2 linked regions of the Caenorhabditis elegans genome follow. The protein of the gene in region 2 interacts with the protein of the main gene of each other region in a biochemical or structural test. Each region holds a gene or a part of one and is shown on either strand. Other genes may lie near its edges.

Region 1 (5,410 bases), on a different chromosome or scaffold from region 2:
ATTCAATAAGTTTCGATGATTTATCATAAACTGATAATGCTTTTGTGTGTGAATTCGTTCGAGACAACTGATGACGGCATTCCTCACGGTTTCGAGCGTCTGAAAATTTAAAAGTTTTGGGATTTTTTCACGTTTGGGGAGGTTTTGAGCCCCGATTTCGAGCATTTTGAAGTATAATTAAAAGTGGTTTTCACAAATTTTTAGTAGGTTCTGATCAGTTTTAACAAAATGTTTTACCAATTTTCTGTCAAAGTTGGCTATTTTTCGCATATTTTCAGTTTTTTCAGCTAATTTCTGCCTATTTTCAGTAAATCTTGGTTATTTTCAGTCATATTTGGCATATTTTTAATCGACTTTTGCCACTTTTTCGCATATTTTCAGTCAATTTAGGTTAGTTTTAGACAATTTTTGGCAACCATTTCAATCAACTTTTGACAATTTTAGATAGTTTTTGCCTCATTTTAGCCAATTTTTGCCAATTTTCAGATAATTTCTGGCTGGTTTTAGGCTATTTTCAGCCAAAATTTCCCAATTTTGTCCCAAAAATTTCGGCTATTTTCAGTCTTGTTTGGCAAATTTTTAAAGCTATTTTCAGCCAATTTCGCAGAGTTTTTGCCAATTCTCGCCAATTTTTGCCAGTTTTCAGTCGATTTCGCCTACTTTCTGCTATTTTAGGCTATGCCCAGCCCATTTTTGAACAATTTTTTGCAATTTTCGCCTATTTTCAGTCAAATTTTGGCTATTTTTAGCCAATTATCTGCTATTTTCAGTCTTTTTTTCAGCCAAATTTCACCTATTTTCTCCCAACAATTTCGGCTATTCCAACCCAATTTTCCCCATTTTTTGGCCAAAAAAAACCCCTTAGCTTCACTTTTTCCACTAACTAACTACTTCAAATCTATATCTTCCCCCATCCATCCATCCATTTTCGGCATTCCTTTGTCATTTTATAAGTGTATTCTCCTCCCCCGAAAATCCTCTCAAAGCTACTTATATTCCCCTTTTTAAATCAGGAAGAAGAAGGCAGAATAGTCTCCATCCGCCAACATGTGTGGAGGAGGAGAGATTATGGTAATTAGGGTTATCCGTGTGGACCCCTAATTTGGAGCATTTTGGAGCAAGTACACGGAGAAAAGGGGGAAATTTGACTAAGTTGTCCGAGTAATTTATGACATTTTGGGATGGATGGAGGAGAGAATTTGGAGATTTTGTGGTGTTTTTAGGCAAATTTTTGTAATTTTCAAGATTTTTAATGTGATTTTGAGTGGAAAAAAGAATAAAACAGTGTCGAGTTCTGAAAATTTTTGCAAAAATGGTTATTTTGAAATTTTTGAAAAAAAAAAATTTTTTTTTGGAATTAAAAAAAAATTGAAATTTTTCAAAAAATTACTTTTATTCGGAAATAAAGAGAATTCTGTGTAGATTTTTATGTGAAATTTTGTGAAGAAATTTTAAGAAATTTTAATTATATATATTTTTTTAATTTTTATTTAATTTAGAATTTGTATTTTTAAGAAAAAATTAAATTTTGGTGAGTTTTCAGCTTTTTAATAAAGTTCTAAGTTGTATGGCCATAATTTCTTTTATTTTTGGTAAATTAAAAAAATTCCAAAAAAAAAACAATTTTTTTGCTGGTATAATTTCTTTAAAGAATTTTTTTTGTTCTGGAAATGAAGAAATGATTTTCAGTGAAAAATAGGTGATTTCATTCTAAAATTACAAAAGAATTGAAGTTTTATGAATTTTTGAAATTTTGGGAAAAAATTTTTTTTTTAATTTTTGAAAAAAAATCCAAGATCACTTTTTTTCAGAAATGAAGCGAATTCTGTGGATTTTTAGGCAAAATTTAGTTATTTTTCAGATTTTTCATGCGATCTTATGTGAAAAATTTGAATATACAATTTTTTTTATGGAAGTTGAAAAAAAAATTGTTTTGGAAAAAAAAAAAGAAATTTTGTGAATTTTTAGGTAAATTGGAAAATAATGGAAAAATTTTTTTCAATAGGGAAAAATAAAAAAATAAAAATCAATAAATTTGGGGGTTTTTAATTGAAAAAAAAATTTCGAAAAAAAAAATTTTTTTTTCGGAATGAAAAAAAAAATTGATTTTTTATCGATTTTTTCCAAATTTTTCGCCAAAAAAACCCACTTACCACGACACAATGGCGAATCATCTTGAGGTCCAGTTTGTACATGTCTTCTTACAGTTAAATCGGCACTTGTCAGGTCATAAAGACTATTGACAGCACCAACAAATACCCGTGTGGTCGATGGATCGATTGCCTGCAAATAAAATTTAATTTTTTTTTGTAGATTATCGATTTTTAGTGGAAAATTTGAGAAAAATCCGTTGAAAATAATCGAAATTCTCGATTTTCCAGAGTCGCCACACGTGAAATGAGTGCTACCGTACCTATACGGGTCTCGCCACAATTAGGATTACTGTATCTTTGAATTTAAATGTTACAAGTATCGATTTTTTGGTGAAAATTCGAGAAAAACATGTTGAAAATCAATAAATTCTCGATATTTTGCCCCTCCGGCATACGTTAAACGAGTCCTACCGTACCTACATGGTCCCGCAAAGATTAGGATTACTGTAGTTAGAAATATTAATGGTAAAATCATCAATTTTCGGTTGAAATTTGAAGATCTTTGATGAAAAGTCGAGAAAAAAACCTGTTAAAATCAATAAATTTCCGATTTTTTCTCTCCGGCACACGTTAAACTAGTGCTACCGTAGCTATATGGGTCCCGCCACGATTTTGTCGGTCTCACAACGAAAATGGGTTACTGTAGCGATAGTTTCACGTGTACTTTTTTCGGAAAAAATCGATTTTTGTCGAAAAATTATTTGGTTTTTTTTTTTGGAAATTTTTTAAATTTGTGCAATTTTGTACAAATTTTTACATATTTTCAGAAGAAGGGTCTCGTCACGAAAATGGGTAACGGTAGCACATTGCGATTTTCGAAGAAATATCGATTTTTGGTTAAATTTGCCACTTTTCCAGGCTTTTTTCGATATTTTTTGAATTTTCAAGAAACTGAGCATTTTGGGTACTACAGCGACTGGTGGGTACGGTAGCAGTAATTTCACGTGTGCGATCTTTCGGGAAATTATCGATTTTTCGGCAAATTTGCCGAAATGTGATTTCACCCGGGTTTTTACAGTTTTTTTTTGAGTTTGTGCGAAGTTTCACGAAAATTAACATTTTGGGTCTCACACCGACAAGGGTTACGGTAACAGTGAATTTAAGTGTGCGAATTTATTAGATTTTAGCGATTTTTACTTTTTTTTAAATTGATTTTTCGTGATATTTTTAATAATTTCAATGGCATTCCGCAAAATTAGAACAAAAAATCCAACAATTTTTATTGATTTTTATCAAATTTTTCATATTTTCAAAAAAAAACCATTTTTTAGGGTCAAATTTTCTGATTTTTTCGGTTTTTCCAAATAAAAAACTCACCATTTTTTCAAAAACCTCATGTCCATCATGGCTTGGATTCTTGAAAACTAGATTATCATCGATCGAATAGACATTTTTCGAGCCGGCGGCGGCGGCGGCGACGCCGAAAATGATGAAAAATTGGAGAAATGTGGGCATTTCATGCCTATTTCTCATCCATATAGCCCCGATTTGAATGATTGATAGTGGCGAGGCCGCTCGGGGGTTCTGAAAATGAAGAAAAATTGATTAAAAACTGAAAACTTGCGAACATCCAAAGGAAAATTGAGAAAAAATAGAGAAATCAGGGTGTTCTGGCATATTTTTTGTGCGAAAATTGGCAATGGGGCGCGCTTGCTACGGGATTTTCCAAAGTCCGGAGAAACATGTTTTTTAGGTAATGATTGAGAAAAAAGTGCAAAAAATTGATTTTTACTTCGAAAAAACCTATAAAAGATGTCAAGTCACGCTCCACATAAGTATTTTGACCTGTGAAAACCGAAAATTTCGGAGAAAATTGAGAAATTATTGGGGAAAAGGGTTTAATAAGTAAAAGTCGGAGAAAATTACCGAAAAGATGAGAAAATTTGCGGAAATATTAGGGAAAATTCATAATGAGATCCATCAATACTCCAGGCTTTTATAGAAAAACATTAATTTTTTGTAAAATTCTAGAAAAATGTCTAAATTTCGAAGATGAAAAATGTTTATCAACTATTCTGAAATTTTTTCAAAAAATCTAAAAATGTGACCTGCAATTCAAAATTTTCTAAAAATTAATCAAGATAATTGAAAAAAAGAGCTCAGAAATTATACTGGAGGGATTTTTTTTGAACGTGACCGAGAAAAAAACCTAGGCCACCGGTTTTCTTGAAGGAAACATGCTTTTCTCTGGAAATTTTCACGGGGTTCTGGCCTTCCTCATTGAATTTTTTGCGCTCCATTGACAATCGCCGGACAACGCGTGGGAAAGTCGTGTACTCCACACTTATAAATAATTTAGTTTTACAACTAAAATCGAGCCGCGACGCGACACGCAACGCGCCGTAAATCTACACAAAATCTCTCTGACCCAAAATGGTCTAGTTCGGCAAACTCTTCCATTTAAATTTATGAGGGAAGCCAGAAATCCGTGTAATTTTCGATAAAAAAGGTGATTTTCTTATAATTTTTTAAATTGAAATTTGAAAAGTGGGCTAAAAACAAGAAAATAGAGAAAAAGCAGAAAAAATTCAAAAATTTAAGATGTTTAAATCGGGTCAAATTTTTCCAACTTTTTTAAAAATTCAAAAAATCTACAATTTTTTCAGTTTTTTTTTCCTAAAAAAAATTAAATTTCAATCAAAAAAATCAAATAATCAGTTGAAAAGCCCCTTAAAAAACTATTTAAACCTAAAATTAAAAAAAAAAGATTTTGAGGAAAAAATTCGAAAAATCTGCTAAACCACAGATTTCTGAGTGAAAAAATCACCAGATCACTGCCCTAAAACCACAAAACTTTGCTGATGGGGAATTTACAAGATAGTCTAGAGATAGAGAGACGCAGAGAAACACACACACACAGAGAACAGATACAAGGACATCTTATTCCGAAAGTCAATGGGTGTCTCCTTCATTCATTCAATGAATCACACTCCACCACACACACATATACCACCACCACGAGTGATCGGTTCGAGAGAGTGGAGGGGGTAGAGGAGACGCAGACACGACGAGCGATTTTATCGAGCACAACTATTGGGGGGTCGGTGTGTAATAAGTAATGAAAATGAATGAAGGGAGACAGAGAGACGCAGACAGTGTTGTGTTGAATTATTATGTTTGACTTGATGAGGAGAACATACTAGATTGTTACAAAAATTGAACTTAGCCAAGAAGTGGGCGGAGCCTGTATACTGGAATTATGGATAATGTCTATTTTTGACTTGGCGATATTTTGTCTGGTCTCGCCACGATGTTGG
Region 2 (5,632 bases):
CTTACATGATTGACTGATAGAGTGGAAAGTGATAGGTTGTAGACGGCATTTCTGAAATAAGTTGCATATATATTTTCCCGGTCTCTTTTCTAGGTCCATTGCAGACATGGTCATGAAGCGGAAGAAGTTGAATTAGAGATAGAAATCTACAAACTGTGAATCTACAGTTACAACAAACAGTCTCGTTTTCAATGTCAAAAACCTATATTTTCGGCTAGATTTTTATCAGCTTTCAAACAATCAAACTTGTTTTTGTACGGTCAGTAGAATGGATGGTCAATAATCATGTGCTATTTTAAGTATTGATAAAATAAACATCCCAGTACCTCGCTCCAACAAGAAGTGAATCTCCATCGGCGGCAAGAAGCTTGAAGTGGTCCGATTCATCAGACGATGTGCCAATTCCACCGAAGCGATCTCCGATTCCAACTGTAAAAAGTGTGTATTTAATAGGAAAATTAATTGTAGTTTCTTTTTTTTTGTTCATAAATCTGTTCGACTCATCAAAGAAGGTAACCGAACACCCTTCTTCCTCTCCTCTTTCTCATTGGTTTCCAATTTATCTAATTTCCGAAAACGATCTCATTTTGGACACAGGGAGTCGGCGGTAACCTCTTTTTGAGGGACATATCATGCAAAAAAGGGGAGGAACACACATTTACCTAAAACGAATTCATTTTTGAAGGACGCCGAGAGGAGAAACATACGTTATACGTGGGATGTCATGCTTATTACTTATTACCCAACAACAATTCATTTGTATAAAGGTCATCTTTAGTAGATTTAACCCCTCTACTTTTCCCCGGTCCTTTCCATGATGTCCTTCTTAAAAGATGACAAGTTTGAGAAAGGGGAAGAAAAAGCGGGAGACGATGTCCCCCGAGGATTCAAGACTGGCAAGAAATCGCGCAATCATATACTATGTGTTCTACACTAATCGCCTATTCCCTGAGGGAGCATCATGACTATCATTATAAAGAAAAAGGATGTGGAGTAGGAGAATTATGATTCTTTGTGCCGAATCTCAGCGTTCAAGTAAGCATGGTAGAATTTATGAACCCCCAGGTTAACTAATTTGTATGCAAGAAAGTAGGCTAATCTTCGTCGTTCAACACACTTCCCCAGCATATTCCCAGGTACTTCACTTGTCCTCCTACTTAACTTTCCACCAATTTCATGTTTTGTTTTCTTTTGCTGTCCCGCCGACCCAGTTTTTTTCTCCCAAAAATGTTCCGATATAGATGGAATCTCGAAGATTGAATATCTATTCCGTTAGGTTCTTCATTCCCTCCCCGGTTTAGATCTTGACACATCTTTTGAAGAGGATCGTATGTCGGCCTGAAGGACATCATCAATGAGATGTTGTTCATTCGACAGATGTCTGTCTGTGTGTGTGCATAAGTCTTCAAAAGTTATGCAAATTCAGCAGAACCCAACACGATTTATCACACTTTATTAGAAATCTGGTGTGCTGCTGCGTAAGGATGGTGTGTGATGACAAGACCATGATTGATTTAAACGGGACATATATATATATTTGACACAAGACAGGTGCTTGTCTTTTGATTTTGATTGAGAGTGAGGTGTCATGTCGTATTGTAAATTTCAGATGCATACTGATTTTGTATTCATCAAAAATTATTACAGTATTCTATTGCAACAGGCAATAAAAATCCACTGATATTCAGAATGGCTTCAGTTTTTATTGACATGGCATATCGGATATTTTTGCACTCGTGAAGGTGTACGGTATACAGCACGGGTGGGCGACAAACGATTTTTCCGGCAAAGTGCCGGAATTAAAAATTTCCGGCAAATCGACTAACCGGCAATTTGCCGAACTTGCCGACAAAAAATTTGCCGAATGGCAATTGTCGCCCATCCCTGGTATACGGTATGTATTTCCTGCCACGTTGAGCGGGCTGTTTGACAATTCATTTTTTGATATTGCAAGCCAGCCTAGCCTGGAACCCATTGCATCCTGCTGCTAGGAAGAGCGAACCCTATTGAAAGGTGTCAAACTGATGCCAATTCAAATAGTCATCTTCTTGGATTCTCTTAATGATTGATTGTTTTGCATAAATAAATATCATCTACATTGCTAGGGTCATTCGTGACAGGTGCCTGCTCTCAAAGATTTTTATGACGCAACAACCATAATTTCCATCTCCTTTTGTCTCCCTCCCCACCTCTTCACCATGCTCAGATTTCTTTTGAGCTCTTTTTCGGTCCTTACCGCCAAGTCGAGAGAGACAGCAAAAAGGGGGTGAGAACAACAATACGCCTGGCGGTATACACATGTATATTTGCAAAGAGAACGTAACCGGATGATCCATGTTGGTTGCAGGACAACAATACCATATGCCAGAGAGGAAATTGAGAAGGCAAGGGGGGGCTCCCGGAGCACGAGAAACTAGGCTTGATTGCGCAACAAATGGCCGTTAATGGGCATTGAAAGCGGAACGACGTCAAGTGTTTCGGGTTCGGAAGAGCATGCTAATGAACCAACGCTCATATTCTACATTTTATGTGCGTCGGCATTCGAAGTCTCGAGTGCCTAGTTAAACCGAGAAGTAACAGCAATATACTAACCAAACAGTGTCACTATCTCAACTCTCGAAAAAGAAACAATACTCTTCTCTTTCTCATATTTACTCGATTAGGTCTCGAGCGTAACGCCATTGTTTATAAAGGCAGGTTGTGACATCTAGGGAGTAAAAAGATTGTAAATATGTTCTCCCAAAAGTGAGATAAGCTGTTCGGGACACACACACATTGGTGAGAAGGGGATACAAGGTCCGACTGCGCGGTAGATCTCTACGGTAGATTATTGGCATAAGATGAGGTCAGTGGAAAAAAGTGAGAGGAAAGCTGGAGGTCCTAGGAAAAGTTTCAGGAAAAAGATATCATTTCCAGCTATAGGTCAACTTTTGAAATTTTGCCGAATTTTGCCATCCTATACATTTTACCCAAAGTATTTCTGCTGAAAATGAGCCATTTTCGTGTAAATGCATCGTTCCCTTCTCAACTTTTCACTCTGTTTCGTCAGAGTATGGATAGTGTGAGATAGTTGAAAAGATGCACCGCGCTCCTGCGCGTGCGCCAGCGATGCTCGGATCGTTTTTCATCCCTTTCTTGCTATTGTAAGGGAGGTCAGGAGTCGGAATCATAGCGGATAGAACATTGAATTCAATTGAATTTAGTTTGAGCAAGGGAATTTTTTTTAGATAAAGAAGCGTCCGGTTTTTCTTTCGTCGCATTTAACTTAAGGTACATAAAACCTTGCCTGAATTAATAATCTGCTTTGGTCTCAAATTGACAACGCCGCCCGTAATTGCCTCGGAGCTCCTGACGACATTGAAAAGAAGCAAAAGAGTTAGTATTCGTCGCATTTATCGCATTGGCTGAAATAGGTATAATTTTAAAAATTGATTTTTAAAAAATCATGAGAACGATAAGAAAATTATTGATAGCAGGAAGAACACGTAAACATACATCGACAGGAAGGGGGAGTATAGTGATTAAAAAATAGTGGTCATTAAAAACGAACTTTGAAAAAAAATGGATGATGTGTACAATGTATCAAATATATTTGTTCAAATCTCTAAAAAGACCCCGGGGTATGTGTCACTCACAGGTACAAATTTCAAAATGTATTTTTTTAGTTATGAAAAATAAAAACATTTAGTTTTTGTACATCTAAGCTGAGGAAATAGGCCTTTGAAAATCAATTATAAAAAATTGTGTGTGTTTTTTTTTCAAAATGTGTGCCAATGTACAAGAGTACAAAAAAGGCACTTGTAGATTTGGGAACCTATCAAAATTTAAATTATCTGATTAGAAGATTTGAGCATCAAAATGAAGGCTACATTATCATAATTTCAGAATTTTCTAAACGTGAAGTTACTTTACATTTTTAGGAATTTATACAAAAATGTTTTTATTCCCTAAAGTATTTTAAAAAACTTCATGGTACAATTTCAAAATTGTAACTACTTTTTGAGATACGACTATAATGTAAGTACCAAGTCAAAATATTTAAAGCACTAACAAAAGGCTGGAAACGAAAAGCGCAGATTAATAAAATGAAATCATTAAAATTGATGATTTTTTTTTCATTCATTAAAAAAAGATCAGTCAAGAGTGATTGAGAGTGGCAGACAACACGACAATGAATACGAAGAGAAAGATGAGGAATCAGAAGATGTGTAGTAGCATCTTCATCAGCACCCGATGTTGAAAAGTGTGTGCGTGTGTGTGTGTGTGTGTGTGTGTAAAGTTACACTGAATTCAGATGCTAGGTGTGGATCCGATGGTGGTGGTGGAGAAGAGAGAGGGATAGAGATACCCAAAGAAACAAGGGAGAACACATTAACAGTTAGTCTAATGGCAATTGAAAGTGAGAGAGAGAGAGAGAGAGAGAGAGAGAGAGAGAGAGAGAGAGAGAGAGAGAGAGAGAGAGAGAGAGAGAGAGAGAGAGAGAGAGAGAGAGAGAGAGAGAGAGAGAGAGAGAGAGAGAGAGAGAGAGAGAGAGAGAGAAATGTAGATTGAGAGATTAGCAGAGAAAATAGTTGCATGATAAGATAGGTGGCAGTATTTTCATGGTCGTAGTAGAAAAACATCTTAAAATTCGGCTGAAATGGTCGAGAAGAACTTTAATCACTTTTGATGGAGAAAGCTTACTCCTACTCGATCAGGTCAAAACATCCGCTATAATAAGCTTGGTGTAAGTAAGTAAGTAAGTAGTTCCAAAGAAGAACAGCTTTTTAAATAAAGATGATTCTAATAGTAGGTTGATTGTGAATGGTTACTAGGTAAAGGTTATTGGGTTTAGTGGGTGTGGCGCGAAAAGAGTCGAGGACCAGGGCTAGAGGGTGAGAGGCAGAGACAAACAAATAATTGAATGTGAATTGGCGAATGAATGGGTGCATGGGCGCCGAGTGACCAGTCAAGACTGTTAGAACTTTTTTCTCTACGTCTCTCGTTTTCGATATCCCAAAATTACGATTACTTGATTTTTTCTAGATCTATCTCGAATAAGCTACACAATTTTATTATATTTCCTGGCGTATTTTCAAAGACTCTCGAAATCCATCAAGTTTGAAAATGGAAGATCTAGAAAGCTCTTACACGGCCATGGGTCGATTTACGCAATTGTTGGGTGATCATCAAAAAAGTTTGATTTATTTCACATTCGGAATTCCTATGTTATTATTTTTGGAGAAAATCGACTGTTGTTAAATAGGGTAAACATTAATTTTCTCTGAAAAAAATTGACAATGTGAATGTTAAATAGAAAATAAATTGCTCCAAAATCAAGCTTTCCAGCTGAACACTGCAAAATCTTCCTCTCATAGCGTACAAGAGCTATGTTAATCTTCCAGAATCCAACAAGAGAGATCGGTGCATTCTTGAACGCAGATAAAGTAGATTACGCAGGTTTGATGTGTAAAGCTGACAGCGTAACAATGATGGGACGAGAGCAGAAGACCAGGTGAGAAGAAACATGTATTTACATAAGAGAGGAGGAAAGAAGTAAAGCTAGATTAAAATAAGTGGTGGAAATTCTAATAAAAACTAATAAAACCACATCTAAGAACCCGTCTAATTAAAGATCACCGGGCAGAACGTG

The links. Proteins that work in one complex are often made in the same cells at the same time.
Region 1: the proteins of smp-1 (region 2) and plx-1 form a complex in vitro, tested with the Caenorhabditis elegans proteins (one study listed by BioGRID).

Annotation. Positions count from the first base shown.
Region 1 is NC_003282.8:957,719-963,128, reverse strand, and holds the start of plx-1 (Sema domain-containing protein), read right to left. Parts: upstream 3,609-5,410; coding exon 3,471-3,608; intron 2,284-3,470; coding exon 2,154-2,283; intron 100-2,153; coding exon 1-99.
Region 2 is NC_003279.8:14,805,240-14,810,871, reverse strand, and holds the start of smp-1 (Semaphorin-1A), read right to left. Parts: upstream 3,411-5,632; 5' UTR 3,393-3,410; coding exon 3,287-3,392; intron 430-3,286; coding exon 327-429; intron 52-326; coding exon 6-51; intron 1-5.